Linked DNA regions of Saccharomyces cerevisiae S288C. The main gene of each other region encodes a partner of the protein of the gene in region 2 in a complex. Each region holds a gene or a part of one and is shown on either strand. Other genes may lie near its edges. The genes, in order: CHC1, ENT1 and SLA2. A codon is read from its position in the direction of its gene.

Region 1 (11,836 bases), on a different chromosome or scaffold from region 2:
TGGGTATCCCTGAAAAGGACTCTTACCAAGGTAAATTTATGACTGAGTGGAACCCAGTATGGGAAGCGGCTGTGAAGGAGAACGAATTCAATGTCATTGATATTTCGCTGGGTCTTTCTAAAGTTTGGGAAGTGAAGGATGTTAACGAACAAGCCTTCCTGTCCGTTTCAAGTAAGGGGTCGGACAAATTTATGGACCTTTTATCCAATGAAATGGTTCGGGCAGTTGACGAGGAGTTGAAAATCACCAATGCCAAGTTATCAGACAAAATTGAAAATAAAATTGATGATGTGAAATTTTTGAAGCAATTGAGTCCCGATTTAAGCGCATTATGCCCACCAAACTACAAATTCAACTTTGATTTATTGGATTGGACCTATTCTCCAATCATTCAGTCCGGGAAAAAGTTTGATCTTAGGGTTTCTGCCCGTTCTACCAATGATCAGTTGTACGGCAACGGTTGTATTTTAGCTTCATGTGGTATTCGTTACAATAATTATTGTTCTAATATTACTAGGACCTTTTTGATCGATCCATCTGAAGAAATGGCCAACAACTACGATTTTCTATTAACTTTGCAAAAAGAAATTGTAACTAACATTCTGAAGCCCGGCCGTACACCAAAAGAAGTTTATGAATCAGTAATAGAATACATCGAAAAAACCAAACCTGAACTAGTGCCCAATTTCACCAAAAACATTGGTTCATTGATTGGTCTCGAATTTAGAGATTCTAACTTTATATTAAATGTTAAGAATGATTACCGTAAAATCCAACGCGGTGACTGCTTTAATATTTCGTTTGGTTTCAATAATCTGAAAGATTCTCAAAGTGCTAACAACTACGCTTTACAATTAGCTGATACGGTTCAAATTCCTCTCGATGAAACAGAGCCTCCACGCTTCTTAACAAATTACACCAAAGCCAAATCCCAGATATCATTTTATTTCAATAATGAAGAAGAAGACAATAATAAAAAGAAATCTTCACCTGCCACCAAAGTCCCTAGTAAACCAGACAGAAATTCCAAAATTTTAAGAACAAAGTTACGTGGCGAAGCCCGTGGTGGTGCCGAAGACGCTCAAAAGGAGCAAATTCGTAAAGAAAACCAAAAGAAGCTACACGAAAAATTGGAAAAGAATGGATTACTCAGATTTAGTGCTGCTGATGCCAATGGCCCAGATAGTGAACCTCGTCAATACTTCAAAAAATATGAATCTTATGTTCGGGATTCACAACTACCAACCAATATTCGTGATCTAAGAATTCATGTCGACTGGAAAAGCCAAACAATTATTCTACCCATTTACGGTAGGCCAGTCCCATTTCATATAAATTCATATAAGAATGGTTCTAAAAACGAAGAAGGCGAATATACGTATTTACGTTTGAACTTTAATTCACCGGGATCTTCTGGTGGTATTTCTAAAAAAGTGGAGGAATTGCCGTATGAGGAATCAGCAGACAATCAATTTGTACGTTCGATTACACTAAGATCCAAAGATGGTGACCGCATGAGTGAAACCTTTAAACAAATTGCAGATTTGAAAAAAGAAGCCACAAAGAGAGAGCAAGAACGTAAGGCGCTTGCTGATGTTGTTCAACAGGACAAATTGATTGAAAATAAAACTGGAAGAACGAAAAGACTGGATCAAATTTTTGTGAGGCCAAATCCAGATACAAAACGTGTACCTAGTACTGTCTTTATCCATGAAAATGGTATCAGATTTCAATCCCCACTAAGGACTGATAGCAGAATAGACATATTATTCTCAAACATTAAGAATCTAATTTTTCAATCTTGTAAAGGTGAATTAATTGTCGTCATTCATATTCATTTGAAGAATCCAATTTTAATGGGTAAAAAGAAAATACAAGACGTCCAATTCTATCGTGAAGCTTCTGATATGTCCGTCGATGAAACTGGAGGTGGAAGACGAGGTCAATCCAGATTCAGAAGATATGGTGATGAGGATGAGCTGGAACAAGAACAAGAAGAAAGAAGAAAACGAGCTGCGCTTGATAAAGAATTTAAGTATTTTGCAGACGCAATCGCAGAAGCATCAAACGGTTTATTGACGGTGGAGAATACATTTAGAGATTTGGGCTTCCAAGGTGTCCCAAATAGATCGGCAGTTTTCTGTATGCCAACTACAGATTGTTTAGTTCAATTGATTGAACCACCATTTTTGGTGATTAACCTAGAGGAAGTCGAAATCTGTATTTTAGAAAGAGTTCAATTTGGTTTGAAAAACTTCGACATGGTTTTTGTTTATAAAGATTTCAATAAACCCGTCACTCATATCAATACAGTTCCGATCGAATCTTTAGATTTCTTGAAGCAGTGGTTAACAGATATGGATATTCCTTACACTGTCTCAACAATCAATTTGAATTGGGCAACTATTATGAAGTCATTACAAGATGATCCATATCAGTTTTTCTTAGATGGTGGTTGGAATTTTCTGGCTACTGGTTCAGATGATGAAGCATCTGATGAAAGTGAAGAAGAAGTTAGTGAATATGAGGCTTCAGAAGACGACGTAAGTGATGAAAGCGCATTTTCTGAAGATGAAGAAGGATCAGAGGTGGATGACGATATTAGTGGTGATGAAAGTGAGGACTATACTGGCGACGAGAGTGAGGAAGGTGAAGACTGGGATGAATTAGAGAAAAAGGCTGCTAGGGCTGATAGGGGTGCAAACTTTAGAGATTAGACTTTATAACACTTACTGGGTTTCACCAGCAAGACCTTGATCTGACAGAAAATTACTCTTATGTATCTGAAAAATAATGATGGTATTTAGGCATAGTATTTATCAATGCTAAGAAATGTAAATGGACTGAATGTACACTCAATGCTAACGGTCAAGGTCATAGGACGTTTGCGTAATAAAAGAAACTCTACTAGAGTTGAACATAATTTGATATAAAAGTATATAAATTGAAAAGGCAGTTTCAATCATTTTAGTTTCTGCAATTTATTTATTCCTGTAATCTACAATTTTATAGTTGGGAAATTCTCTCGAAAATATTAAGAAAAATACAGAACTCATAAGGTCTTTTTTATTGGCATTTTGAAATCCCCTCAGATAATCAAAGATGCTAACAAACAAAATAATAACGGTAAAAAAAAAAAAAATACACGATGGGGTACAGCAAACGAATTATTTTATCCACGTCTTAAAATCCTGTGGGTTGAACGTTCATCGCGCTGTTCATCAGCATCAAAGGTTGGCCATCTTTGTGCTCTTCATTAGATCCGGACTTTTTAGCGAGTTCTTCGGTGATTTTCTTAATGGAATCATTCTGCTCTTTTTTTATGGAGATTTCAAATGGCTTAATGTAGTCCTCCAAAGAATTCATCCATGATATTTCTAAAACAAATTCAATTCTCACTAAGTTGTAAGCAGCATATAGCAAAGCAACAAAGCCTTCTCTGTTACCGGTTTCAACGAAATATGTGAGTAGAGCCTCCACTACCTTTGGATCCTGAGAGATTGCTGCCGTCTCAATAGCGTCCTTCCATAGCTTTTCTTCCTTCAAGATTGAAAGACTCTTTGCCCACTTCTTATTTCTACGGTATAACAGGGCTCCTATTTTCTTGAAAAAAATTAGCTTATGAGATTCCAAACGAGATGCCAATCCCAATTGGTCAAATTTGTCATAAGAATCAACAGCGTCTTGCAAAGCTTTATAATCTTCTTCTTCAATCATCAGATCGTGGTAGGCTTGGTTGACAACTGAGTTATTTTTTGGTAAGACATTGATCAAGAAAGGCTTGATTAAAGGCAAGTTGTCGGATTTCGAGAAAATTTTGACAGTTCTTGGAATATCTAATCTTGGTGTCAATGAGGTCAAAAGATCAACTAGTAATGATGGGTGAAATTTGACGTAGAAATTAATGGCCTTGTAATAGATTTCTAAGTTAGAAACTTTGACAACAACTTCTTTGAAATAGGCGTGATCCAAGTCTTTGGTTGATTTTTCGATTAGTGTTAAAGCAGCATTATCCCATTCATCATAGTGAGCATATAAAAAGACCAATTCCGACCAGAGGTGAGCTTGTTCGACAGCTCTAATAACCTTTGGAATATTTATTCTGGACCAGAATAGCTTCAAGTGTTCGAAGGTCTTGTCTGGTTCATATTTGGAATACAAAATGGCCAATTCAGTGAACATGCCCATATGAGCTCTTTCAAGTCCCAAACCAGCTTCAAACAATGAAATCAGTTCTTCGAAATAGCCGTTTGATTCATACCTTTCCACCAGTTCATCTAATTCTTCAGCGTGAACGATCAAGTTCAACCCACAAATTTGAGCCAGCTTGAATTCTTTCTTTTCAATACAAGCGTCGTTAACCAGTTTCCAAACTTTAATGTTTGAAGCCTTTCTAGCAGTGTCAACAGCAGCCTGATAATCTCCCAGGTAAACCAAGGTAGAAGCAAGCTTGGAGTAATTAGAAACAGCAGAATAACATAGCCTGGCCGCTTTATACTCTTTATTCTCGAATAATTTATCACCAACATGATCTAAGTTTGCAACATTGGAACCTGCCAACAAGTTCTCAATTTCATGAATCTTGTTTAGTTCAGCATAGGCCAAGATTAAAGCACCGTCGATCTTTGGTTCTTTCAAAGTCTTTCTAGCCATTAGTAAAAATGGAATTAATTCTTCGTATTTACCGGCTTGTTCGGCTATATCAATTACATTTTCGTAATTTGATGGGTCTTCTGCTTTAATATAAGACTCAATAGCATCTGGGATTCTTAATCCATCTAACTGAGCCGTACCAATTTGAGACCACAATTCGGGAGTATTGATTTTATCAGCATAAGAAGCAGCTCTATCTAAAGACATGATGTCTTCGATTAAAACCTTTAAAGCTTTACCGTACATTTCATGTTTGTCATAGATTTCAAAAGCTTCCTCCTTCAAATCATGTTCAATACATAATGGAGCAATTTCATCGGCGTCGTAGTTATCTAATTTTTCGATATAGCTTGAAACCTTAGTTGGTTCATACTTAATAGCAGACAATAATAGCAACCCTTGTAAAGCCACATTTTCGTTGAAAGGAGAAGGTTCCAATATGATTTTTTCTAGCAACTCAATTAGTTCCAGTTTTAATCCATTGGTCATGAATGCTTGAACAGTTAAGGAAACAGGTTCAGGATCAGTTAATTCAGGGATACCAACGGAGATGACCGAATCAATTAATTGTCTTCTGTGAATATTTTCTTGATTCAAAACTTTGTTCCATAAATCGAGATCAGAACGTTCCAACAAATATCTTGCCTGGTACTTGTACATGCTATTTTCATTAGTGATTCTAATCAAGTCATCATCATTTTGACCTTTTTCATACGCAATATATGCAAGGTAGGGATCTCTTTTTTCGCAGTAATGACCAACGTCTAAGGTGTCATATTGGTCGTTTTCCTTCAAAAACTTTTCAGGAGAATTATTGGAATCAATATAAATTTTTGCTAAGGCATTGTAAACAGCTTGATCCTGGATACCTTGACTTAAGCTTTGTTCTAGGAAAGGTAGCAATATTTTTAGTCTATTTCTCTTTTCAACCTCAGTAGTTAATTCATTAATAGGGACTTGACCTAAGACTGATTGTAGCAGACTTTGAATAAATGCCTCATCACAGTCCATATCAAGTAATGCGCCAACAACTTGGGCAGTCTTTGAAGGGTTAACCTGCTGCACGTAAGTTTCAATAAATTTTAAGTTCTGTGATTTGTACAAATATAAAATCATTTCATGAACAAAGTCGAAACGGTCACAAACTATGACTAGAGGCAACTGGTCTTCTAGATTGGCATCCTTCAAGAAATTCTTGACTCTTTCTGGATCATAGACATTGTTATCCTTCACAATTCTTTCAATTTCTCTGTATTGTTTCATTTTAGCAGCAGCTTCAATGTATTTGTAAACCACATCTTTATCTTCGGTTAGGTTGACTAAAGAGGCTAAGTAATAGTATAAACCTTCCGTAGCATTATAATCTTCGAATAATTTAATCAAAGTAGATGGACCGATCAAATCAGAGAATTTAGTTGCCACCTGTACTACGGTCTGGATGTTAGCCTGAATATTGTTATCCATTAAAGCTTTTAAGCACGCCAAAGATTGTTCAACGTTCAACTTACCAAAGTATCCGACTAACCAATCGATAGGTAATGCATTGGTGTGGACAACGCATCTCTTGATATCTTTGATGTCTGTGTAATTTTCTAAAGCTCTCTGGTATAGTCCCGCCTTTTCGGATAAGGAAGCAATAGTTGGTTTGTCATAATGAGAAAAGATGTTGTTTCCCAATATGGCGTCAGCAACTTGTGGTGCGTGTAGTAGATTGACTTCAAGAACACGAGTTTGCAAGTGACCTTGGTCTGGGGTATCTCCTTTTAACGCGTCTAGAAGTAGAGAGGTTCCTTGTTGGATATGGTTTTGGGAAAAGAATAGATCTGCGATTTTTTCTATGTCGATCTGAGAAGCAGTTTCCGGATTTTGTAATAGAGATACGGCAAATTCAGAAGCTCTGTCTGGTGATGATCTAATCAAAGAAGAAATCAGCACTAAAAAGTTAGGTTGATATCCAACCTTTTGGCAGTAAGGAATAATTTTTTCAAACTGTTGTAATTCGGCAAGACAAGATATAACTTTTGCATGGGCACCTGCTCTTAAGTAGCAAGCTAGCGCTAAAGTAGTATCGAAAGGCTTAACGATGTCACCTAGTTCTTCTGAACATTCTAGTTTATCTTCCTTTAACCATTTTTCGAACAATTGTTTTCTGTCTTGTTGTAGAACTGGTCTAGCCAATTCAATTGTTTCCTCTTTATTCAATTTCCCTTTATCCAATAGTGTTGAAAAGTAAAGTAGGATAGGAGAAATGGCGCCTGGTGGTGCTTGAATGTTTTTCAACCTGTTGATGGTGTTTTGGTTCCTTAAAGAAGTGGAAGAGGCTGCAACTTTAGCTGCATTTTGATAATCGTTTTGTAACAATAAAGATTCAAACTGTTTTTGAAATAAATCATCTGCACCTGGTAAGCCACCTCTTGTAGCAACGATTAAGGCCAGTGCCACATTAGATAATTTATTCAAGATATATGGAACGATTTGAGAAGTAGAAATCTCTACTGCTAAAACTTGACCTTTTTTATTGATGCATGCAATACCGTTCTCGTGATTGTACGGAGCTGCAGTAAAAACAGATTCTGCTGTAATTCTATTAACGAATAAATTGGTACCGGTTTCCAATTCGTACAAATGGATGAAGCCATACTTGGTTAATAGGTAAATTATGCCGTATTTCTCAGACACCTGAACAGCGATTGGGAAATCATTCGTTGCATCTGGTGGAAAGAAAATATCGGTAGTTTCCTTTTGATATTGAGAAGGCAATGAAGCATCGTGATCAATCTCGATAATTCTTAATTCTCCAGCACCGGTGGTGGCATTTCTGTTACCAGTAACGAAAACTTGTACCGGGGTCGAGCCATTACCCTCTAGTAATATATTCGTAAAGATAGCAACATGACCGTCGATAGCTTGGGAGATGTTACGTTGTTTTGAGAATAATTGAATTCTACCGGCAATACGGCCATTTTCTTGTAAGATACCAACAACTGCGAACCAGTCAAGGTTTTTGTTAGCCACAAAATTGATAATTTGGGTATTGTTCAAGTTAGCGTGTCTCAAGGTAAGCAATTGAGGCTTAGCATTTACGTTACCATCAAAGACGTTCGAGGTCAGTATGGATCTTGCGGTAACAAAACCCAAAGTGGTTTCACTCAACCACCTCCAAAAAATAACAGGTTCATCTAAAGTAAAAGACTTTAACTTGCTCTTAGTTTCCAAATTAAATATCTGCACGATAGTACCATTTGCTCTAACGGAAATAACCATCTGAGATGGATGCATGATAGCAGAATCACCGCCCATATTCTTCCTTGTCACTTCATTGCCTTTGGCCAAATCCACGATTGCAACAGAGTTTGTACCGTCCTTTGTTTCTCTAACAGTGACGAAGTGGTCACTCTCGAAAGTAGTTGATCTGAAGTCAAGGAATTGAGGGGAAATTCCTAAGGACATCAGATCGACCAATTCGGTAAATTCAATGGGTAGGTCACTCATTGGTTAGAACTTTCGTGATAATTTATTTTTATAGTTGAATATCTTCTTTCTCTCTCAACTCTGATCCGGATTGTCGAGGTTTCAATAAGTTACTCTGAACAACTAATCAAAATATCTCCTTATTTCTGTAGATTCCTTCAGTTCCACTTTTTACTTTTCTTAATTCTCTTTGTATTTATTCCTAGCGACGAAAAATGCGAGATCTCGACCAAAAAAAGGGGGTAGGGTAATAAAATTAACCCTATTATTTTTTAACTTTAAAACCTATAATGTGCTAATATTTTATTATAAACCTCCTTTTTTTGCGTTCAAACCCTGACACATTTTAAGCCCTATATTTACGGTATTAGTTGATTAAACTCCGAAGCGAAAGGAATTCGGTCATTAGCGGCTAATAGCCGTTGGGGTAAATCACCTACAAGCAAGTACACAAGAGAACGTTGGCGTTGTTAAGTCAAAGCACTAATACATTGGGGCTTTAAGAGTGTTTATAAAGGTCTAACCTGTAAAAATTATTTAAACAACTTGAACAGGCCTTAAAGTTTTCCTCATTCCGCTCATCATCACTAATATTGCTCTCCGTTTTTGAATACACACTTGACACTAATAAGTATCACAGAAAAAAAGAAAATATAATAAATTAGTATTGCGATATGACGAGACGTACTACTATTAATCCCGATTCGGTGGTTCTGAATCCTCAAAAATTTATCCAGAAAGAAAGGGCGGATTCGAAAATCAAAGTTGACCAAGTTAACACATTTTTAGAGTCATCCCCGGAGAGGAGAACTCTGACGCACGCCTTAATAGACCAAATAGTGAATGATCCTATATTGAAAACTGATACGGACTATTACGATGCTAAAAAAATGCAAGAGAGAGAAATTACTGCCAAAAAAATAGCTAGGCTTGCTAGTTATATGGAGCACGATATCAAAACAGTGCGCAAACACTTTCGCGACACTGACCTGATGAAAGAGTTGCAAGCAAATGATCCAGACAAAGCTTCGCCTTTAACAAACAAAGACCTTTTTATATTCGATAAGAGATTGTCACTTGTAGCAAATATTGATCCTCAATTGGGTACGCGCGTGGGTGTACACTTGGGGCTATTTGGTAATTGTATCAAGGGCAATGGTACTGATGAGCAAATCCGGTATTGGTTGCAGGAGAGAGGTGCCACTTTGATGAAAGGTATATATGGCTGTTTTGCAATGACTGAGTTAGGACATGGTTCCAATGTTGCCCAGCTGCAGACTAGGGCTGTGTACGATAAGCAAAATGATACTTTTGTAATTGATACACCTGATCTAACTGCCACCAAATGGTGGATTGGTGGGGCTGCCCATTCTGCCACGCACGCTGCCGTGTACGCCAGATTGATCGTTGAAGGTAAAGACTACGGTGTAAAAACATTCGTTGTTCCTCTGAGAGACCCTTCGACTTTCCAACTGTTAGCTGGTGTTTCCATAGGGGATATTGGAGCGAAGATGGGTCGTGACGGTATTGATAATGGCTGGATCCAGTTCAGAAACGTAGTTATCCCTAGAGAATTTATGCTAAGTAGATTTACCAAAGTTGTCCGTTCTCCAGATGGTTCAGTCACCGTCAAAACTGAGCCACAATTGGATCAAATTTCTGGTTATAGTGCATTGTTAAGTGGTAGAGTTAACATGGTCATGGATTCATTTAGGTTTGGCTCCAAATTTGCTACTATTGCTGTACGTTACGCGGTTGGTCGTCAGCAATTCGCACCTAGAAAGGGATTGTCTGAAACACAATTAATCGACTATCCCCTTCACCAATATCGTGTTTTACCACAATTGTGTGTTCCATATTTGGTGTCACCTGTAGCTTTTAAGTTAATGGACAACTATTATTCCACTTTGGACGAGTTATACAACGCTTCCTCATCTGCATACAAAGCTGCTCTGGTTACCGTGAGTAAAAAGTTGAAGAATTTATTTATTGATAGCGCCAGCTTGAAAGCCACCAATACTTGGTTAATTGCTACACTGATTGATGAGTTGAGACAGACTTGCGGAGGACATGGGTATTCACAGTATAACGGATTTGGTAAAGGCTATGACGACTGGGTGGTTCAGTGCACATGGGAGGGTGATAATAATGTTTTATCTTTAACTTCAGCAAAATCAATATTGAAAAAATTTATCGATTCAGCCACAAAGGGTAGATTTGACAACACACTGGATGTGGACTCATTCTCTTACTTAAAACCTCAGTACATAGGATCTGTGGTTTCTGGAGAAATAAAGAGTGGTTTAAAGGAGTTGGGTGATTATACTGAAATTTGGTCTATCACCTTAATCAAATTACTGGCACATATTGGTACTTTAGTTGAAAAATCAAGAAGTATTGATAGCGTTTCTAAGCTTTTAGTCTTAGTATCCAAATTTCATGCCTTGCGCTGCATGTTGAAAACCTATTACGACAAGTTAAACTCTCGTGATTCACATATTTCCGATGAAATTACAAAGGAATCTATGTGGAATGTTTATAAGTTATTTTCCTTGTATTTTATTGACAAGCATTCCGGAGAATTCCAACAATTCAAGATCTTCACTCCTGATCAGATCTCTAAAGTTGTGCAGCCACAACTATTGGCTCTTTTGCCAATTGTGAGGAAAGACTGTATAGGTCTGACAGACTCCTTTGAATTACCTGACGCGATGTTAAATTCTCCTATAGGTTACTTTGATGGCGATATCTATCACAATTACTTCAATGAAGTTTGCCGCAATAATCCAGTGGAGGCAGATGGGGCAGGGAAGCCTTCTTATCATGCGCTGTTGAGCAGCATGCTCGGTAGAGGTTTCGAATTTGACCAAAAGTTAGGTGGTGCAGCTAATGCGGAAATTTTATCGAAAATAAACAAGTGAGTAGAGGTTTCCTGTTTTCCTTCGAACCCTCTGTTTTGCGACTTTTGTTTCAATTCAACTAGTGTCGCCAAGTTTTAACAAAAAGTTACAAAATCCTAGTGAGAGGCCATCTTATGTGCATAACGGTACTCTCTATCTATTTACATATCTAATACTATTCACATAACTATGACGAATCAATGACATGACTACATTTACCAATGTATAGTAGTAAAAAAATTGCCATCTCCTAGAATCGAACCAGGGTTTCATCGGCCACAACGATGTGTACTAACCACTATACTAAGATGGCAGGTAATTATTGAGTGTTTACTCAATATCTCAGAATTATATACATAACAAATAATAAATGTGCTGTGTTGGCACTTGTTGGAATGAAGCTCTAAAACATCATGATGATTGTGTGGATTCTGATGTAATTGTTGGGATTCCATTTTTAATAAGGCAATATGTTGGAACGAGAGTAATTAATAGTGACATGAGTTGCTATGGTAACAATCTAATGCTTACATCGTATATTAATGTACACATCGTATACGTTTAAGTGTGATTGCGCCTATTGCAGAAGGAATGTTAAACGAGAAGCTCAGACAATACTGAAGCTGTGTTAAAGACCTATTAGCTGAACATGATATGGTAGGTACATATATGAGGAATATGAGTCGTCACATCAATGTATAGTAACTACCGGAATCACTATTATATTGGTCATGATTAATATGACCAATCGGCGTGTGTTTTATATACCTCTCTTATTTAGTATAAGAAGATCAGTACTCACTTCTTCATTA
Region 2 (8,032 bases):
TTTTCCTCTACCATAATATGCCCCCAACACGCAGAGATCCAATGAATCTCCAACCCCCTCCAAGTAATCTTTTTTTAATTTCAACCAGTTTCTTGACCTTTTACTTGGTTCATAATGGGATTCAGGGCCCTCCAACATTTTGACCATCAAACCTTCGCATGAGTGATTAACGGACTCATCAAGGAATTTTTGAAGTTCATCAAGGTTATTTGTTGTTATCTGAGTCGCGTATTGGAATTCTCCCGGGACAACTTTTGTAACCTTCGTCAAGTATTCTCTTCTTTCCTTTAGTGACTTATTAATCAGCCTTTCATCGTTGTAGCAAAGTATATCAAATGCAAAGAGACAGACTTTAACTTTAACATCATTCAGCTCCACGTCTTTACGTTTCCTTGTACTTAAGACCTGGAAAGGCAAAATTTTCCCCTGATCTTTGTCCCAAGCAACAGCCTCACAGTCTAGAATTAAATTTTTGGTAGTATCCAAATCCTGGATAAAATCCGTTATGTTAATTTCTGGATATCTCTCAGTCATATTCTCGCCATTTCTGGAATAAATCCTCATTGTACCATCATTTAGTAAATGCACCTGAGCCCTTTCACCATCGTATTTGTATTCTGACGTAAAAGTTTCGCCTTGAAATCTATCCAATACTTCATTAATTGCCTTGGTAGGCTTGGCTAACATGGGTTTCAATGGAATTCCTGGTCTTAGAGTACAATATTTATCTAAATTCATAATACCGTGTTCCAGGCATGAGTTTATAACAATTTCATAGTTGGGTACTTGACAAAATGCGTCTCTTATCTTTTGTTGAGCACTTTCTAACACATCCATGGGGACATCTTTGTCTGGAGAGTCCTCCCTATTTTCATCATGGAGCAAAAGAGCCTTCGATAGGGATATTAAGACAGTCTTTTCAGCAAGACCGATTCTCAATTTTGACTCTAGGGATCTAATCAAAAACTTAGCCTCTATACCTTTGCAAGCAGTAAGCATTCTCTTGATCAGCTTCATCTTTTTTAATTGTGAATCTTTGCCCTGAGTCTTAGCAATAGCTCTAAGATTTTTGAAGACCTCACCCACGGTCAAGGGTTTGGGCTTAAACATAGTGGGTTGGACATTTCTCGCACCCATTGCTATTTCACCCAAATCCCCAATATCCTTGTATTTAAGTTTAATTTGGCTCATGGATTTCCCGCAAGTTTCGCTTATGGTTTTCATAAGAAGATTTTCTCCAAGGCCTAATTCCAAGCCTGCTTCGTAGTCAGGGCCCAATCTATTGATGAAAAGGTATGTTGTAGGTATTAAGTTCTTAGACGATTGCTTCATTATCTTAATAAAGAAATCAGAACAGATTCTTATAATCTCTAAACGGGAAGATATGGCCTCAATCTTGTTAAAAACCTCACAAACTTCAGAATAGGGGATATTAGACGAATAGTGATCATTATTATTTGAGCTCAAGGCGTCTTCAACTTCACCTACCAACCTCTGAGATTGTTGCGGTGAATCAGCAACACCGGAAGAGGGAGCGGATGATGGTATAGAAGAAAAATTGCTACCCATGGAGCTTGGAGCTGCTACAGTATGTGTAACAGCCGTCTGTTTCAATTTCTTGGTCGCGTATTCCTCTTCCCCACTAACATTATCCATTCTATCTTCCAGCATATGTTTGGATGATTTTTTGGGAGAAGGAGTACCTTCTGTTGGCTTATTTTTCATGGAAGTGAAGAATCTAGCCAAAGTGGCTTGTTTAGGCTTCTTACCGGCAGAGGAAGGTAATGAGGATGACATCAATAATGGCAATCTTGATTTCAAGGGACGTGCAGATGAAAGAAGGCAACCGGTCAGTAATCTGCGCATGTAATTGATGAACAATGACGTTAAAAGCTGCTCTAAACCTCCAAAATCATTACTTTTATTTTTGAACAAAGTACAGCGAGATGCAAACGCATGGCTTATTGCAGCTAAATTTCACTTTCACGCGTTTTCGCGTTAAGGTGAAAAATTCCATCAGCCATCTCAAGTGGAGGAACACATCGAAGCGAGCAAAAAGATGACAGAGTTAAACAGCAATAGAACCAGCGGCTGCAGTACGAATTCCTATTGCAAGTCTTACGGAAGGTTGGTGGGGCCTTATGTTGTTCAAAGTACTTGATTTTGGAAGTATGGTTGTCTGAAATTGTGGCTACGTATAGAGAATCATCCGGGTAATGATGAAAGTTTCTTTCAATGACAAATAGGAGTTTTAAGAAGTAGAAGAAAGAGCCGTTCGTATGAGTGCCAGGATCAGAAGGAAAGGGAGCAAGAGGCAGAACAATCATGTCGAAACAATTTGTTAGATCTGCGAAGAATTTGGTGAAAGGGTACTCTTCTACCCAGGTCCTGGTAAGAAATGCAACGTCAAACGACAATCATCAAGTGTCCAAGGACTCGTTAATTGAGCTGGCTGAAAAATCATATGATAGCGCAGATTTCTTCGAAATCATGGATATGCTGGACAAAAGACTTAACGACAAGGGCAAATACTGGAGGCATATCGCAAAGGCATTGACAGTAATAGATTACTTGATCAGGTTTGGTAGTGAGAATTGTGTTCTTTGGTGTAGAGAAAATTTATACATCATCAAGACATTGAAGGAGTTCAGGCACGAGGACGATGAGGGCATAGATCAAGGTCAAATCGTTAGGGTCAAAGCAAAAGAATTGACTGCATTACTATCTGATGACGAAAGACTGAACGAGGAAAGGAACATGAATATCAAGGGAAGAAACAGGAAAGGAAGAAGAAGAAGGGGAACTGGGCGCAGTGATGAAAATGACGATGATTTGCAAAGAGCCATTAGTGCTAGCAGGTTGACGGCGGAAGAAGACGAAAGAAGAAGAAAACAGGACGAGGATTATGAAACAGCTTTGCAGTTGAGCAAAGAAGAAGAGGAGCTAAAAAGATTGCAAGATTTACAAAGAATGCAACAACAGCAAGGCCAACAACAATTGCAACAACCTATGTATTATGATATTTTTGGTAACCCAATCACTCCTGAGGAATACGCACAATTTCAATTGCAACAACAGCAACAACAGCAACAACAACAGTTGCAACAACAACCAATGTACTACGATGTATTCGGGAATCCTATAACACCCGAAGAACTAGCACAGTTTCAACAACAACAACAACTACAGGAACAACAGTACTTAGCTTCTATGCAACAGCAGCAACAGGCAATGTCCAACAATCCATTTGCCAAATCAGAACAGAGCTCAAGTTCACCAAAACGGAACCAACTAGTAGCAGCTTCTTCTCCACAGCAACTGCAACAACAAAAACAACAAGAGCCATTGATTCAAAACAGGACAGGCAATCAATCAATGACAGACAAGTATAGTAAACTAAACGAGCTACTAGCCACAGGAACAGGTATTGATACATTCGGAAATGTAGGGGAGGCTCGTATTCCTGCCCAACATACGAAGACAGGAACATTCATCAATTCTCAAGGAACAGGATATAGGCAAGTATCGGATGATCCAAACCACAATCCGTTTTTGAACAGTCAGTATACAGGTTTACCAAGCACTAGCGTCGTACCAACACAAACAGGCTATGGCTTTGGTAACCAGTCTCAACAGCAGTCTCAAAATAATGGCTCAAATAACCGGGGATATACTCTAATTGATTTATGAAGTGATTCTGTCATTCCAGTCCGCATTTCTAATCAGATGAGCATTTTCTCGCATCGCATAATATATATGGACTAAGTAATTTAATCATTTCACAGCGCGTTTTGATGCAAGCGTTTAGTATAAAATGAACTGTATATTTGTATATGTGAGCGCACGATCGCTCCAAAAACTACTTTAGTAAACTAACGTAGTTCAGGACGACTGAAAGAAAATATAGTGCTTTAAATTTATCAGACAACCAGGAATGTCTTATGTCTTTACATGGATGTAATGTAAGTTGAATACTTTTACATATCCATCAGAAGAAGCCCTACGATACGCTCTAAATCTTGATGCGATAACTCTAAGGGACTTTTATCGCCACGTTCTCCGTTAATGTCCTTGTGAGATTGCAAGGACCGCAGCACCGCCTCATCAATGAATATATCCAAATATTTCTGTATCATTGGTACTACTTCATCGGCAATTTTCATATCATTACCACCTTCATTTTGGCTGAGGATTTTTATTAACGCTTCTTTAGATAACATCACCACAATTACTGTGCTCTGTACTCATGTCCTTTCTAAGTGCAATAATGTAAATTCTAACACGCTTTTATGTATGATTGATTTTTGATATTTTGGCCCGAAAGATAATTCTGGTCTCCCGGAAACATGAAGATGCAGCAAAGTAAAAAATAATAGGTAAAAATAATAAAAATACATGTATCTTTTTGGTTGGTTAATTTATCTAAACAGTTTTATATATATATGTATATATATATATATATATACACAGTATTAATATTCTTTCCTTGAGATTACTCTCTATAAAAAAAAAAAAAAAAAAGCTTTTAAAAAAAAAAAAACTCAAAAAAAGAAAGAATATTCAAAGAAAGTTTCATCTTGTCAGTTGAAATGAATAGTTTATTGTGGAAATTATAACAATAAAAGTTAGCTAAAAGCGAAAGTGTCGATGAAACTGGGCAAGTGCACTTGAGCTCTTGATATGGACGGTAGTATTGGTTACAACAATGACTGGTAAAAGAATGAAGTGGTTTGAGATAATTTTAGAGAAACAAAAAGAAATAACAAAGTGATAGTAATAAAAACGGTGCGCAAATGAGGATAAAAAAATCAGCACAGAAACTAGAGAAAACGGATAAAAAAATAAAAAAGCAGAGACAAAAATTAAATTACGACTGATTCTTGTTCAAAATCAATAGTAAAAGTATGGTTACAAAGTAATGTAATTCACAATGGAGATTTGAAAAAAGATAAAAATAATCGACGATTAGATCACAAAAAAAGCGTATCTCACCACAGTAGTTATTTTTTCTTAGATATTCTTTAATACTGGGGTTGTGACTGACCAGGTGGCATCGCCATGAAATGTTCCTGCTGTGGAGGATACCCCTGCTGCGATGGCATTTGCGGTGGAGGATACGCCTGTTGTTGCTGATGCGAAGGAGGAACCATGAATTGTGGATGATGTTGCTGCGGAGGAATAGCAAATTGTTGCTGAGATGGTAATTGTTGCTGAGGTATCGCTTGTTGATGATAGCTCTGTTGCTCTATCGGGAATGGGACAGGTACCGTTTCGTCATTTTCAGCCACATACAATGACTTATCGATAGTGGCCGGAATAGCCGCAATTTCAGTGCCCAGTTCTTGTTCGATTTTATAAAGGTTAAACCGATCATTCCAGTTAATCAAATTGATTGCTAAACCCAAGTGGCCAAACCTACCGGATCTACCAATACGATGTAAATATGTTTCTGCCGTTTTGGGGAAATCGAAATTGATAACGACATTAACGGCTTGAATATCGATACCACGGGTCAATAAATCGGAGCAGACCAATGTACGAACCTTACCTTGACGAAATTCGTGGAAAACTTTATTTCTTTCTTGTTGCTTCATTCTTGCATGAGAGTAATAACAGGAATAGCCTAAATCAGTGATTTTCTTGGCTAGTAATTCGACACGGTTAGTAGAATTACAAAAAATAATGGCTTGATTAATTTGAAGCTTAGAGAATAAAGTATTTAAACAATGTAGCTTTTGTCTTTCTTCAACAAAGGCGTAGTATTGAGTAATACCCTTTAGAGTCAATTCTTCCATCAAATTAATTTCATAAGGCTTATGCAGATGTTTAACCATGAATTCCTTAACCGTTAGTGGGAAAGTAGCGCTAAATAATAAAGATTGGTGAGTTGGAGGTAAGAAGGATAAGATTTGTTCAATTATTGTCTTGAAGTCACGAGATAACATTTTATCGGCTTCGTCCATGATGAATAATGAACAATCAGACAGATCTGCTACTTTTCTCGAAGCTAAATCCAACACTCTACCAGGAGTACCAACCAAAATATGGACTGTTTCATTTAATCTTAGAATATCGTCTCTCAAATTGGTACCACCAGTGGTCACCATACATGAAATACCACAGTGTTTTCCCAATGTACGGACGACTTGGGAAGTTTGCAGAGCTAACTCTCTTGTGGGAACCATGATCAAAGCCTGAATTTTATTCAACTTTGGTTTGACTTTCTCTAACGTAGGAATAACAAATGCGGCTGTCTTACCTGTACCATTCTTTGCTCTGGCCAATATGTCTCTACCAGTTATTGCTACCGGAATAGCCTCTTCTTGAATAGGGGATGGTTTTTCAAAACCGGCTTCAAAAATACCCATTAACAGCTCTCTTTTCAAATAAAAATCTTCAAAAGTATTACCCTTTGTATTTAAGACATCATCTGTCTGTGGTCTGGTATCCTTCTTGGGAATATTCAATGCAGTTTTCCAGTCCCGATCGAGATCCGTATTACTGTTATTATTAGTGTTGAAGTTATTATTGATGGAACCCATTACTACTATTTTCTTTCTTGTCGTATTTTAGGCCTGGGATAAGTTATTATGCGAATGGCGATGCGGTTATGAAGAAATAAAAGGGCTAAAAGTAAGAATTTTCTGCGTCTATCTTTCTATTAGGAATAAAATATGACTATATTTACTATTATTGTTGTTTTGTCGTACAATCCTTTATGAATGAAAATATTAAGCTTGTGGTCTTAAAAGAATGTGGATGAAACAAAACTGAATCCAATGATGAGAAATAAATGTACAATCAGATAATAAACACTTTTATTGATGATTGTCTTTTCTTGCAAACCCCAATGTTACAATCGCCCATTAGTTCTAAGATTGTGTTGTCCTTTTTCTTACGAAATTTTTTTCCCTCCCTTTTTTGATCACTGTCCTCGTTATAAGTGATTCGTGGGGTAACGGCGATATCATACTATTATTGGCCCATCTGATGGATTAGAAGACCTACAGGTTAATGTGAAGCGACACTAATGATAAGAAAACTGCATCGGATCATATCTGTTTTTGCAGCGTGGTATATTGGTTGTTGGTCATGTTTCAACGAAAGACTTTACAGAGAAGGAACTTGAAAGGGCTCAATCTTAACCTGCACCCAGATGTGGGCAATAATGGCCAATTGCAGGAAAAGACAGAGACTCACCAGGGACAATCTCGAATAGAAGGCCACGTGATGTCTAACATTAATGCAATACAGAATAATAGCAACCTGTTTTTGCGAAGAGGCATAAAAAAAAAACTGACGTTGGATGCGTTTGGTGATGACCAAGCTATATCGAAACCAAACACTGTGGTAATACAGCAACCGCAAAATGAACCTGTTTTAGTTCTGTCTTCTCTATCACAATCCCCGTGTGTATCATCATCATCATCTTTGTCCACGCCATGCATTATAGATGCGTACAGTAATAATTTCGGATTATCGCCATCATCCACGAATTCTACTCCCTCTACGATTCAGGGATTGTCCAATATTGCAACACCAGTTGAAAACGAACATTCGATATCACTACCACCTTTGGAGGAAAGCCTATCGCCAGCCGCAGCAGATCTGAAAGATACGTTGTCGGGAACTTCAAATGGTAATTATATACAACTCCAGGACTTGGTTCAGTTGGGGAAAATTGGTGCTGGAAATTCTGGAACTGTGGTGAAGGCACTACATGTTCCTGATTCCAAAATAGTTGCCAAAAAAACCATTCCTGTGGAACAGAATAACAGTACAATCATCAACCAATTAGTTAGGGAATTATCTATCGTCAAAAACGTTAAGCCCCATGAAAACATTATCACCTTCTATGGAGCTTATTATAACCAGCATATAAATAATGAAATCATAATTTTAATGGAATACTCTGATTGTGGTTCTTTAGATAAAATACTGTCCGTTTATAAAAGGTTTGTTCAAAGAGGGACTGTTTCGAGTAAGAAAACCTGGTTCAACGAATTAACAATATCAAAAATAGCGTATGGCG
Region 3 (9,610 bases), on a different chromosome or scaffold from region 2:
TGCTTTATTCAAAACTACTGACATGATTTCTTGTGGCTCTAATAATGACGGTGTCTTTCTTTCTACCTTTAAGTTCTTTGTAAAATATACAATTTGAGAGTCATCCGTAATCGCAAAGAAATTATTTGATAGTAATGCTTCCACAGAACCAAATTGCGGCCCTATAATTTCTGATACTTTTAACTTCATGGAATCTATCTTGAGAGAAAAATTAGCGGATAAACTCTGCTTGTAAACGAACCTGGAAGAATTAAGTACTCTGACACTTCTCTGCAAAAAGGAGCCTCTCTTGCTTTTAGACTTTCCTGTACATTCACTGTTCTTTGAATCCGTGAAAAGTTTTCCAAACGCAGAAATATCTTCGACTAATTGTACTATTCCAGAATATTCTTCGTTAAATATCACTTCTTTGATGATTGCATGGACAGAACTATAAATTAGCGCTTCTTTCAAAGTATCGTCATATGAACCCAGTTGTAGAGGGGATTGCAAGTTCGAGATCGTAATGCTCGACATTGTCAATATTTTCGTGCACCGAGAAGGTAGTTTTTTAAATACGTCTACAAGCTCAATGTACAACTCACGGTTAGAGTCGTAAATGAAGGGTGAAACCTGGAAACATAATAAAAAATATGGAAACTTAAGCGACAACTTCACTGCTTTTGAGGTAAGTTGTACGGTCCTTTTAGTATCCGATGCTATTTGAGGCATCATCCCTTTTGACTTATTCTGATAAAAGGACATACATTTTGAAACAAACTGAAAGATTTTAAAGAAATGCGCAATGCCATCATGACTGATAATAATATCTAGTTCGTCGCCCATATTTAATGCGATGCTTTGAGGGGTTTGTTCTCCAGTGAGCAATGGCTTAGTTTTATGGCTAATTGTCAATGGACTCGAATTAGAATAAAATGAGCCTAAAGAAAATGCCAATGAATTATTTTCCTTTTGCTCTAATTTAAAGCTCTTCAAAATTACTGTGATATCTTGGCCTAAGTTTAAGTATATACATTTGATATCAACAGAAGAAAGAGCTGATGGTTCCTGCTTGTCAGGTGAAGGACTTTGGGAATCCTGGCAAGAAAAGCTTTCATTGGCATCCAAATGTGTAACAATGATATCTATAATATTCTTCAAAGTGGAGTTTTTGATTTCGACAATTTTGTGTATCGCTAAATGAACATCCTGAATATCAATAACAATATTAGACATTCTGAGATCATTGACCGATGATAAACCCTTAAAAGCTATGTTCAAATTATTTATTTCCATTAAAGATTCCTTGCACTTATCATTCTCTTGTTCTTCTTGTGTAACTTGGGGTTCACTGGGGTCTTCATTTGATTGCTCTTCCATGGCGCTCATATAAAGTGAAGTAGCCTCCATTTTTGATAAATAAACGCTTTGTGACAGATCGTCATTATTGAAAGGATGCACAGGAGAGTCGGGTACAGCTTGTTTTTGTATTGAGGAAATGGTGATATTTTCAATGTTTATATGTCGTAAATTTGCGTCTGTAGTAATAAGTTGTATGCTTTCTAGATGAACCTCCACAATGTTATCGGAAGGATCTCTATCATTCACTATGAAACGTATGGTAACGTCCTTTAATGCTATTTTCAATTTCGCTAAGGCTACATTAAGGGCCTTGTTCCGCATATTTTGAAGAGTATAAGAACCATTTGCGGCTGGTTTTGAAGCTTCTATATTAGAGTTGAGATCACTACTACTGTCTGAAGAGCTAATGTCATCTTCTTTGTACCTATTATATGTGGTCAATGGATCACTAAATTGTAACATCGAATTCGTAAGATCTTGGATGCTTTTAACCAAAAAATCTGAGTGAAGTTCCTGTGAGCCACTGGAATATAAAGGTGTCATGATAAATCTTAAACCAGACCCATCGATTTCCACACCGCCAGAAACTGTTAATTTTAACACAAGCTCGTCAACTATGCCTTCGTTTATTTGCACGTTTGGAATGTTGAGATCATCAAGTGACAGATTCACATCATGGAACGAGAAATGTGACTTAGACCCTATAGAAACGTCCAAGTTAGATAAATCTATATTGGAGAACAGCGAAATTTGCTGAAGGACGTAAAGAAGCAGCCGCTTTTGTATATTTTGAGGTAACCAAAATGCCATTGTATCGAAATCAAAAAAAAAAAGGGTTCCTCTTAATTTGCTTTAATCTTTATGCTTTCCTTATTTTAAACGGCAGTAGAAATTTTGTATGAATGGTGAGTTGAAATAAAGTCGCAAAGATTACAATAGAAGCAAAATGGTAGACTCCTACAGAGATGTGATATGATAATAAGGGTGGGGTGTCTGTTCTTTGTTCCTTGCATATTCATTATCGCGATTATTTCCATTCGCCGCACCAAAAAAAGAAAAAATGTCCCCGGACGAGAACGCATATACCAATCAGATACAGAAAAACGTAAAAGACGTCTTCAAATAAATATATTTATATTAACGTTTATCTTTATATATAAAAAGTACAATTCATGATCAATCATCATCCTGGTTATAGTAGGCATGCCTTCTTATCTCGCCCAATCTCTTCCTGGCATTGCTCAAGGATTGTTCTAACTTCAAAATTTCCACTTGCTGTTCCATTTCGGCAGTCTTCAATGTGTGTTCGGATGTGAAGTCCAATGGTTGCTGCTGTTGCGAAGTCGAATGATCATCTTCAATCATACCCATGACGTGGTTACCCAAACTTCTGCATGCATCGGTAACATCTTTGGAACAGTGTTCCAATTTATCTTGGGCCTTCGAGTGGATGGAAGTTTTCACTCTCGATGCTGCTACCAATTGTATTGTGGATGCGGCCACTTCTTTGGAGGCGACGATAAATTGTTCAGGTGATGTGTTTTCATTGTCTTCAGAAGTGATTAACTTACTAGCAGTAGTGATTAAAACATTGGTTGCACCTGCCACAGCCTTTGCCGCGGAGATCAAACCTTCTGTCCATCTGCTGTTTTTCAAGTAGAATTGGTTCAGAGGAATACTTGTCGTGGTGGCAATTTCATTTTGGCACTGAATAGCAGCCTTTACCAAAGCCACAACAGCATCAATAATCATTAATGCCAATGACAACAATGGTTTAGGAACGTCAACACGTAAGTGTTCTGAGGATTTGACAATTTTGTCAGCAGTGGCAACCAATTCAGAATGTGGGTTCGTTTCTTTATTTGATTTGACAGATTGTATGTTCAATAACGGTTCGATAGCCAAAGATAGCTCTTGCAACTTCTCTTGCATGTCCACGTTGGCATTGATGACGATATCAGTTTTCTCCTCATCACCGACCTGGTTAAGATTTTCAGACATCAAATCCTCGAAGAAATATTGGGCCTCTCTGGCACATCTCTTCACCAGGGTCAAAATTTGATCAGACTGTTCTTGAGGTAATGTAGTAACGGCGTACGCCTTTGAATTGGTCACCAGTGTAGCCATCGAAGTACTGAAATCACTAACGCAGTGTATGACCTCTGTTTGGTCGCCGTGTGCAAGGCCGTCTACTATCAAATTATTGAAACTGGTGGCAAACTCAGTGGCGTTTTCAGAAGTACTTTCCAATAAGGACAAAAGGAAAGTGGGTGGAGTCAGCGGACCCGACCAACTCAAAGGAGAATCGAGATTATAGACCGATTCCTGGATGGTGTTGATACCGCTTTCCAATATGGCATCCAGAATAGGGTTCATTTTATCCTGAGTCATTGTTTCTGCTGCTGCTGTCGCCGCTGCACTGTCCGCCTCTGCATTATTAATGGATCTTTCTAATTCTAACCTTGCCCTGTCACGGTCCTTAACCAACTCGGCCATTTGCAAATCCTTTTGCTTCAATTTGTGTTCTAACTGTTCCTTTTTCTGAATGGATTCCTGCGCACTATTCACCTTTAACTGCAGTTTTTTAAAACGAGGTAAAAGATTTAGATGCTCTTGACGCAACTGGGAGTATAGCTTGGCTAAAGACTCATATTTTCTTTCCCAAACATCCAATTGATCCTGCAATGCAGTTAGTTGCTCGTCCTTATTAGCCAATTGTTTGGAAGCTGTAGAATCCATCGTTGTGATTTCACTTTCCAGCTGCTGCACTCTTTGGTCATATTGCTGCAATAAAGCCTGGTCCTTTTCATATTGATTGGTGAGGGCAATTAAATCGTTTTGATGTTGGTTTTGTTGTTGAAGCTGCATATTCATCATATCCTGTTGTGCTTTTTGTAACTGCTGTTGAAACAGTTCCTGCTGTGCCTGCTGTTGTTGCAACTGTTGCACACGCTCTTGCTCGAGACGGTTTTGCTCGTTCGCAAACTGGGCTTGTTGATTGGCCCAGAAGTCCGGCTGCATTTGTGCCGTCGCCTGTGGAAAAATGGCGTTAGCTGCACCAGTGGCAGTGGGGATCATCATCCCAGTGGTGGCACCCGTCGGCATAGTTTGCAAGTAACCCGTAGGCGTCGAAGTAGTCCTTTGAGATACCGGACGTGGGGAAATAGCCGGCTCAGCAACAACAGGTGGTGTTGGTGTTGGAGTCCGTGCCGGCGTCCGCGCTGGAGTTACAGAGGGCTCTCTTTTTTTGAACTTAATCTCTTTTGACTCGTCCACATCGTTGATTAAAAATACGTCTGGAGCGTCCACGGGTAGTTTTGGAATGGTTACTAACGTGGTCAAGTACTTCACAGAAGAGCAGTCCGCGTAAAACTCAAACAGCCTTGCATGTTGCAACTCGTACCGTTCTTTCAAGGGCTGCAGAGCAGCGTCACCCTCCGCATCATTCAATTGCCTGTGCATAGCTCTCAGCATCGAGGTGATGAATTTATAAATACCATATGACTCCGCAATCAACGGGATCAGCGCCGAAATTTTGCACTCAGTATTTCTCCTCTCGGACTGAATCGACGCAAAGATGATCTGCGAGAACTCGTCAAGAGAATCCTGTAACGACATCAAATCTAAGATCGTCTCGTACCCTTCGTCCGGGTCGGAAACTGAAACCAGTGACACATACTCCTCGTACTCAAACGTCCCGTTGTTAAACCCTCTATGGTGCGCATGAAAGTCCAGCTTCAAAACCAGGTACCGCACATACTCCCGAATCAGTTTGCTGTACGACGAACCGCCAGAATGTACCCTACCCAGAGATCTGATCCAGTCCCTATCCCGGATGGCCTCAGCTAGCGCTGACGGATGTCCCTCTTGTATGATCTTATGCAGTACAATAAGCATCTTGAACAGTTGCACTTCGTCATTGGCCAGAGGCAGCGTCTTAAGGGTTGTAAAAACAGCTTTGGAAGACTGATGGTCCCATGTGTACACTATGCATGCGCGTACGTGCTTTCTCTTAGGTGCGGTCTCCTCAACGGAACACGCCTTTTTAAGCGCTTTCTGCAGATCTGAATCTATTCTGGACATCCTGTTCTAGCTGCTAGTACTATCACTACTACTGCTATGGCTGTATTACTAATATTTCTATTGTTTCACTATTCTTTATATATATTTATATATGTATATTTTCCAGCAAAACACCCTTTTTGGCATTCTCCTATAGGACGTCAAACGGCGCGCGACCGCGTCATTTTATACGAGCAGCCGCTGCGTCGTCGTACAAAACGCACCGACCTACATTACAATAAAAAGTACCCGTAAAAGGATCATGTGTACATGGTTCCAGTCTTTTGGTTCGGTACTATAACTACTGTAAACGACCCTCTCACTGCAGTTTATGATATGTGATCGCGTTAAAAATGGGTATTATCACCAATAACGGGTCGGGTAACAGATTTTTTCGATGCGCCGGCAAAAAATTTTAGTTTTTTTTTTTTTCATCACAGGGATAAAAGCAAACTGCAAAAGGACAAAACAAGAGAAGAGCTACTTGTTGTTTTCGTTTCGTGCTGGGGGTTTTCTCCTTTCTATTCTTTTTCAAAAAAGACAAGGAATATATTAATATAGCTGAAGCAAATCGTATGTCCATTGAGAATCTGAAATCATTTGATCCTTTCGCCGACACAGGAGACGACGAAACCGCCACTTCAAACTATATTCATATTCGTATCCAACAGAGAAATGGTAGAAAAACTTTAACTACGGTGCAAGGTGTCCCAGAGGAATATGATTTAAAGAGAATTCTTAAGGTCCTAAAGAAGGACTTTGCATGTAATGGTAACATTGTCAAGGATCCAGAAATGGGGGAGATTATTCAGTTGCAGGGTGACCAAAGAGCAAAGGTTTGCGAATTTATGATCTCCCAACTGGGATTGCAAAAGAAGAACATTAAAATTCATGGGTTTTAAGTTCAAGGCTTACGCCGAGTCGCTTACTCGCTGCTCGCTTTCTTTCTTAGTGTTGTTATCCTATATAAAACGTAACTGTTTAGTTATTTAAGTCCAAGTGCATATTTACACTATAATATATAATATAACATCTCATCTTTTTTTATTTCTTTTTCTTCTTCTCCCGCCGCGGGCTTACATACAGAGATATAAGAACAAGTGGTACGTAGCATGCAGCTTCTCAAAAGAGATGAGCGTTCAGTTTTGAGTACAGGGAAGAAAGGCCAAATCGAGAGTACATTATCATGGGGTCGGGCGATTTGAATCTGTTGAAATCATGGAATCCCAAGCTTATGAAAAATAGAAAAAAAGTATGGGAGACCGAACAGGATCTAATTACCGAACAGCAGAAGCTTAACACGCGATTGAAAGAAATTGAAAAAGAACGAGAACTAAATGAACTGCTGAACGAATCGAGCAAGGATAAGCCGGAGACTCTCAAGAATGACTTGGCTTTGAAGAAGTCGGGCTTGGAATGGATGTATCAGGATGCAAAACTGAGTGACGAAAAGGAAGACTATTTATTAGGTAAGAAAAAACTAGATTCATCTATACTAAACCAACCTGCAACACCGCCTGTAAGGGCGGCCACTACTATTTCCGCTTCTGGTGCCGCAACATCCATAAGTTCGCAGAAGAAGAAGTCAAAATTGCTTAAAGATGATCCAATGAGTAAGTTTAAGGTAACTAAACAACAAAGAAGAACTCCAGACTCAACAAAAAAAAGAGCAATGTCGCAACGAGGGAAACCGTTGTCCAAGCCCGCTCCGGACCTAGACTACTAAACTTTCCTTTTCTTAGAGCTTGGTTCCTCGTCGGATAGTGGCAAGTCCACCTCACCGAGACTGCCATCGTCATCCTCGCTGTCGCCATCTGCGCTTAACCCGGATTCTCCTTCTTCGTCTTCCAAGTCCCTCTGGGCCTCAGCATAGTACTTCACACAAAAAGGGTAGATCTCTTCACTGAACAATGACGCCAATGAGTCGCCGTGCGGGAACTCCTTCCCGGGTTTTAGGCCGGTCCATCTGAACCAGCCAAATATGGTTTTCATTCCCTGTCTGTACTTTTTTTTACCCTCTGGACTGCGTTTGTCTTTGATCAAGTCCGGGTTTATCGAGTCGTAACTCTGGGGCCACTCAATTGGAACGGGCTCACTAGTCAGTATCCCGTCTTCTTGGTCATCTTTGCCTTTTTTGATTTGGAACACCTTGGTGACTTGCTGCTCTTTGAAGTCTCCCTCAATTCCATGGAAATGGAATGTTATACTAAAATCTCTAGTGTCGTACATTTCAGACTCCAATGCCAGCCATTCTACTTTGATCTTATCTATAGTGTCAATGTATTTAAAATCTGAAGCCCTTATGTAATTCGCAAAACTAACGTGTTGTGAAAGCACAATTTTCCAGAACTCTGCAATTTCGTCAATATACGCGTCCCTCTTTTCATAAACAGGCTTCATTTTGTTCAATCTGTATAATTCTACCTCACGTTCAATAGCGTCCACTTCTTCTTCGCATTTAGCCAATCCTAAGAATGCTTTTGCACTGACCATCTACCGCACTTGCTAAGTGCATATTGTTAGTATAATGGGTTGCTTTATTTTTCCATTTCATGCCCTGCAGAGCTCAATCCTACATACTGCTCGTTCTCGTTTTCTTGGTCACTCATCATTGGCAGTGTTATGCTTCGAAATGTTTGTCGTCAACATCAAGCGCCTAATCATTAGGATGCTTTTCTTCCCTTTTCTCACAAGCGCAGTGTTTGATTTTTTCAATTTTTTCCGCCTGGAATTTTTTCACATTCCAAAATGAAAAGTACATATATAATACAATTAATTATATTAGTTTTTTCTTTCCTCCTTTCCTTTTTCACTATTTTAACGTAAAAAAAGATGGTATATACATATATACGTACTTTTGAATAGTTGCACACATAACGAAGCCACGAGTATTCTATTTGTCTTCACCAAAGTACTCTTCATGTAGCTTCTTTTGTTGTTCCCATTGCTTCTTCAACTTCTTGGTCATACTCTTGGTGATATCATTACCGTCTTTGTCCTTTGTTGGAAGGCCTTGCTCGTCCCAAGCACTGTACAATGTGACATCCTTGAACATATCTTGTGGTTTAATTTGAGCTTTCTGCTTCCTCTCGTTTTCCTTCTGCTCTCTTAATTTCTGCTGTTCCAATTTCTTTTGTTTCTTTGCTAGTTCGTTGGCATGTTTCTCCTCGTTTAGCTTGACAATTTCCAATTTTTCATCGTTAGTCAAAAATTTGATCAAGGCAGATTGTCCATTCCTATCATCCAAGGCAACATTCAAGTTTAGCAAATCTTCGTTTCTAATTTTATCCGTTAATTGCAAGAATTCCTTGGGTTCGGCTTTCTTGATAGCTAAGGAACGTACATCATCTCTAAATGTGGATAAACACTTAACATATGGCATAACAGTGTCTTCCAATGAGCCTAGGGATCCATCGTTGGAGCCAGCTTGGGCTGCCCAACCCAAATTGTCAGGACGGGATGGAAATCCAATTATTCTTAAGATTTTGGTGATGTAGCTACAGATAGCAATCAAGGGCTCAATTTTTAAAGCAGCACCTGCAGTGGTAATGTATGTGTTTGACTTGGTCACTAATTCGCTCAGTGTCTTCAAAGCAACAGGTGTGGATAAATTATCACAGAACGCCGAATGGACTTTCGATTCACTTTCAACAAAATCAGCCAATAATTCTTTCTCTAAGGGACTAAACTTTTTAGAGATATGACCTGCAGAAGCTGCATCGTTCTTCAATGCTCTAATAGTCTTAAAAAAATTGTTCATGGAGTTTTCAAATGACTTTACTTCATGGATCAAAGATTCCTTGAAATCCAATTGATTGTTCCATTGTACTGAGGCAAAAGCCAATCTTAATTGGCGCGGTGAGAATTTTTTCAAAGCTTCTTGAATGGTAATGAAATTCTTTAAGGATTTAGACATTTTTTGACCCTCAATATGTAAATGGCCCGTATGTAAGAAATAGTTGATCCACTGTTGATTGTCGAAGCGAGCCTCGGATTGAGCCAATTCGTTATCATGGTGAGGAAAGGCCAAATCGATGCCACCTGAATGAATATCGATGTTAGAGCCTAGGATATCACTGGCCATCACAGAACATTCAATATGCCATCCTGGTCTACCCTTACCCCATGGTGATTCCCACTCAGGTTCACCTGCCTTGGAAGCCTTCCATAAAGCAAAATCATTATTCGACTTTTTTCCGTTATCAGC

The links.
Region 1: the proteins of ENT1 (region 2) and CHC1 are in contact, whole or in part, in a crystal structure (PDB 9EYT), measured with the Saccharomyces cerevisiae proteins. Residues at the interface, in NP_010120.1 of Saccharomyces cerevisiae: Gly448 (codon at 3,667), Tyr449 (codon at 3,670), Thr450 (codon at 3,673), Leu451 (codon at 3,676), Ile452 (codon at 3,679), Asp453 (codon at 3,682), Leu454 (codon at 3,685); in NP_011309.1 of Saccharomyces cerevisiae: Asp25 (codon at 8,073), Phe26 (codon at 8,070), Arg27 (codon at 8,067), Gln155 (codon at 7,683), Ile157 (codon at 7,677), Ile173 (codon at 7,629), Leu174 (codon at 7,626), Gln175 (codon at 7,623), Ile180 (codon at 7,608), Phe266 (codon at 7,350), Ile268 (codon at 7,344), Lys284 (codon at 7,296), Phe310 (codon at 7,218), Lys326 (codon at 7,170).
Region 3: the proteins of ENT1 (region 2) and SLA2 are in contact, whole or in part, in a cryo-EM structure (PDB 7B2L), measured with the Saccharomyces cerevisiae proteins. Residues at the interface, in NP_010120.1 of Saccharomyces cerevisiae: Leu63 (codon at 2,512), Asn64 (codon at 2,515), Lys66 (codon at 2,521), Gly67 (codon at 2,524), Tyr100 (codon at 2,623), Ile101 (codon at 2,626), Lys103 (codon at 2,632), Thr104 (codon at 2,635), Leu105 (codon at 2,638), Glu107 (codon at 2,644), Arg109 (codon at 2,650), Ile116 (codon at 2,671), Gln120 (codon at 2,683), Arg123 (codon at 2,692); in NP_014156.2 of Saccharomyces cerevisiae: Lys24 (codon at 5,355), Arg25 (codon at 5,352), Lys26 (codon at 5,349), Arg29 (codon at 5,340), Ile32 (codon at 5,331), Val33 (codon at 5,328), Trp36 (codon at 5,319), Asp37 (codon at 5,316), Glu73 (codon at 5,208), Tyr247 (codon at 4,686), Thr250 (codon at 4,677), Leu251 (codon at 4,674), Val252 (codon at 4,671), Thr253 (codon at 4,668).

What each region holds. Positions count from the first base shown.
Region 1 is NC_001139.9:99,360-111,195, forward strand, and holds CHC1 (clathrin heavy chain), read right to left. Parts: upstream 8,146-11,836; coding exon 3,184-8,145; downstream 1-3,183. Other genes in the region: chromatin-remodeling protein SPT16, read left to right, coding at 1-2,717; POX1 (acyl-CoA oxidase), read left to right, coding at 8,799-11,045. UniProt on the Saccharomyces cerevisiae protein: Clathrin is the major protein of the polyhedral coat of coated pits and vesicles. In yeast, it is involved in the retention of proteins in an intracellular membrane compartment, presumably the trans-Golgi.
Region 2 is NC_001136.10:165,389-173,420, forward strand, and holds ENT1 (epsin), read left to right. Parts: upstream 1-2,325; coding exon 2,326-3,690; downstream 3,691-8,032. Other genes in the region: DNA ligase (ATP) CDC9, read right to left, coding at 1-1,866; MHF2 (Mhf2p), read right to left, coding at 3,978-4,220; DExD/H-box ATP-dependent RNA helicase DHH1, read right to left, coding at 5,022-6,542; YDL159W-A (uncharacterized protein), read left to right, coding at 6,794-6,925; mitogen-activated protein kinase kinase STE7, read left to right, coding at 7,093-8,032. UniProt on the Saccharomyces cerevisiae protein: Binds to membranes enriched in phosphatidylinositol 3,5-bisphosphate (PtdIns(3,5)P2) and phosphatidylinositol 4,5-bisphosphate (PtdIns(4,5)P2). Required for endocytosis and localization of actin. Negatively regulated via phosphorylation.
Region 3 is NC_001146.8:183,865-193,474, reverse strand, and holds SLA2 (Sla2p), read right to left. Parts: upstream 5,425-9,610; coding exon 2,518-5,424; downstream 1-2,517. Other genes in the region: ATG2 (Atg2p), read right to left, coding at 1-2,151; SUI1 (translation initiation factor eIF1), read left to right, coding at 5,979-6,305; U2-type spliceosomal complex subunit CWC25, read left to right, coding at 6,590-7,129; VPS75 (Vps75p), read right to left, coding at 7,126-7,888, 7,984-8,015; CRS1 (cysteine--tRNA ligase), read right to left, coding at 8,297-9,610. UniProt on the Saccharomyces cerevisiae protein: Required for cellular morphogenesis and polarization of the cortical cytoskeleton. It might act in concert with proteins such as CDC42 and CDC43 to limit the region of cortical patch formation to the cortex of the bud.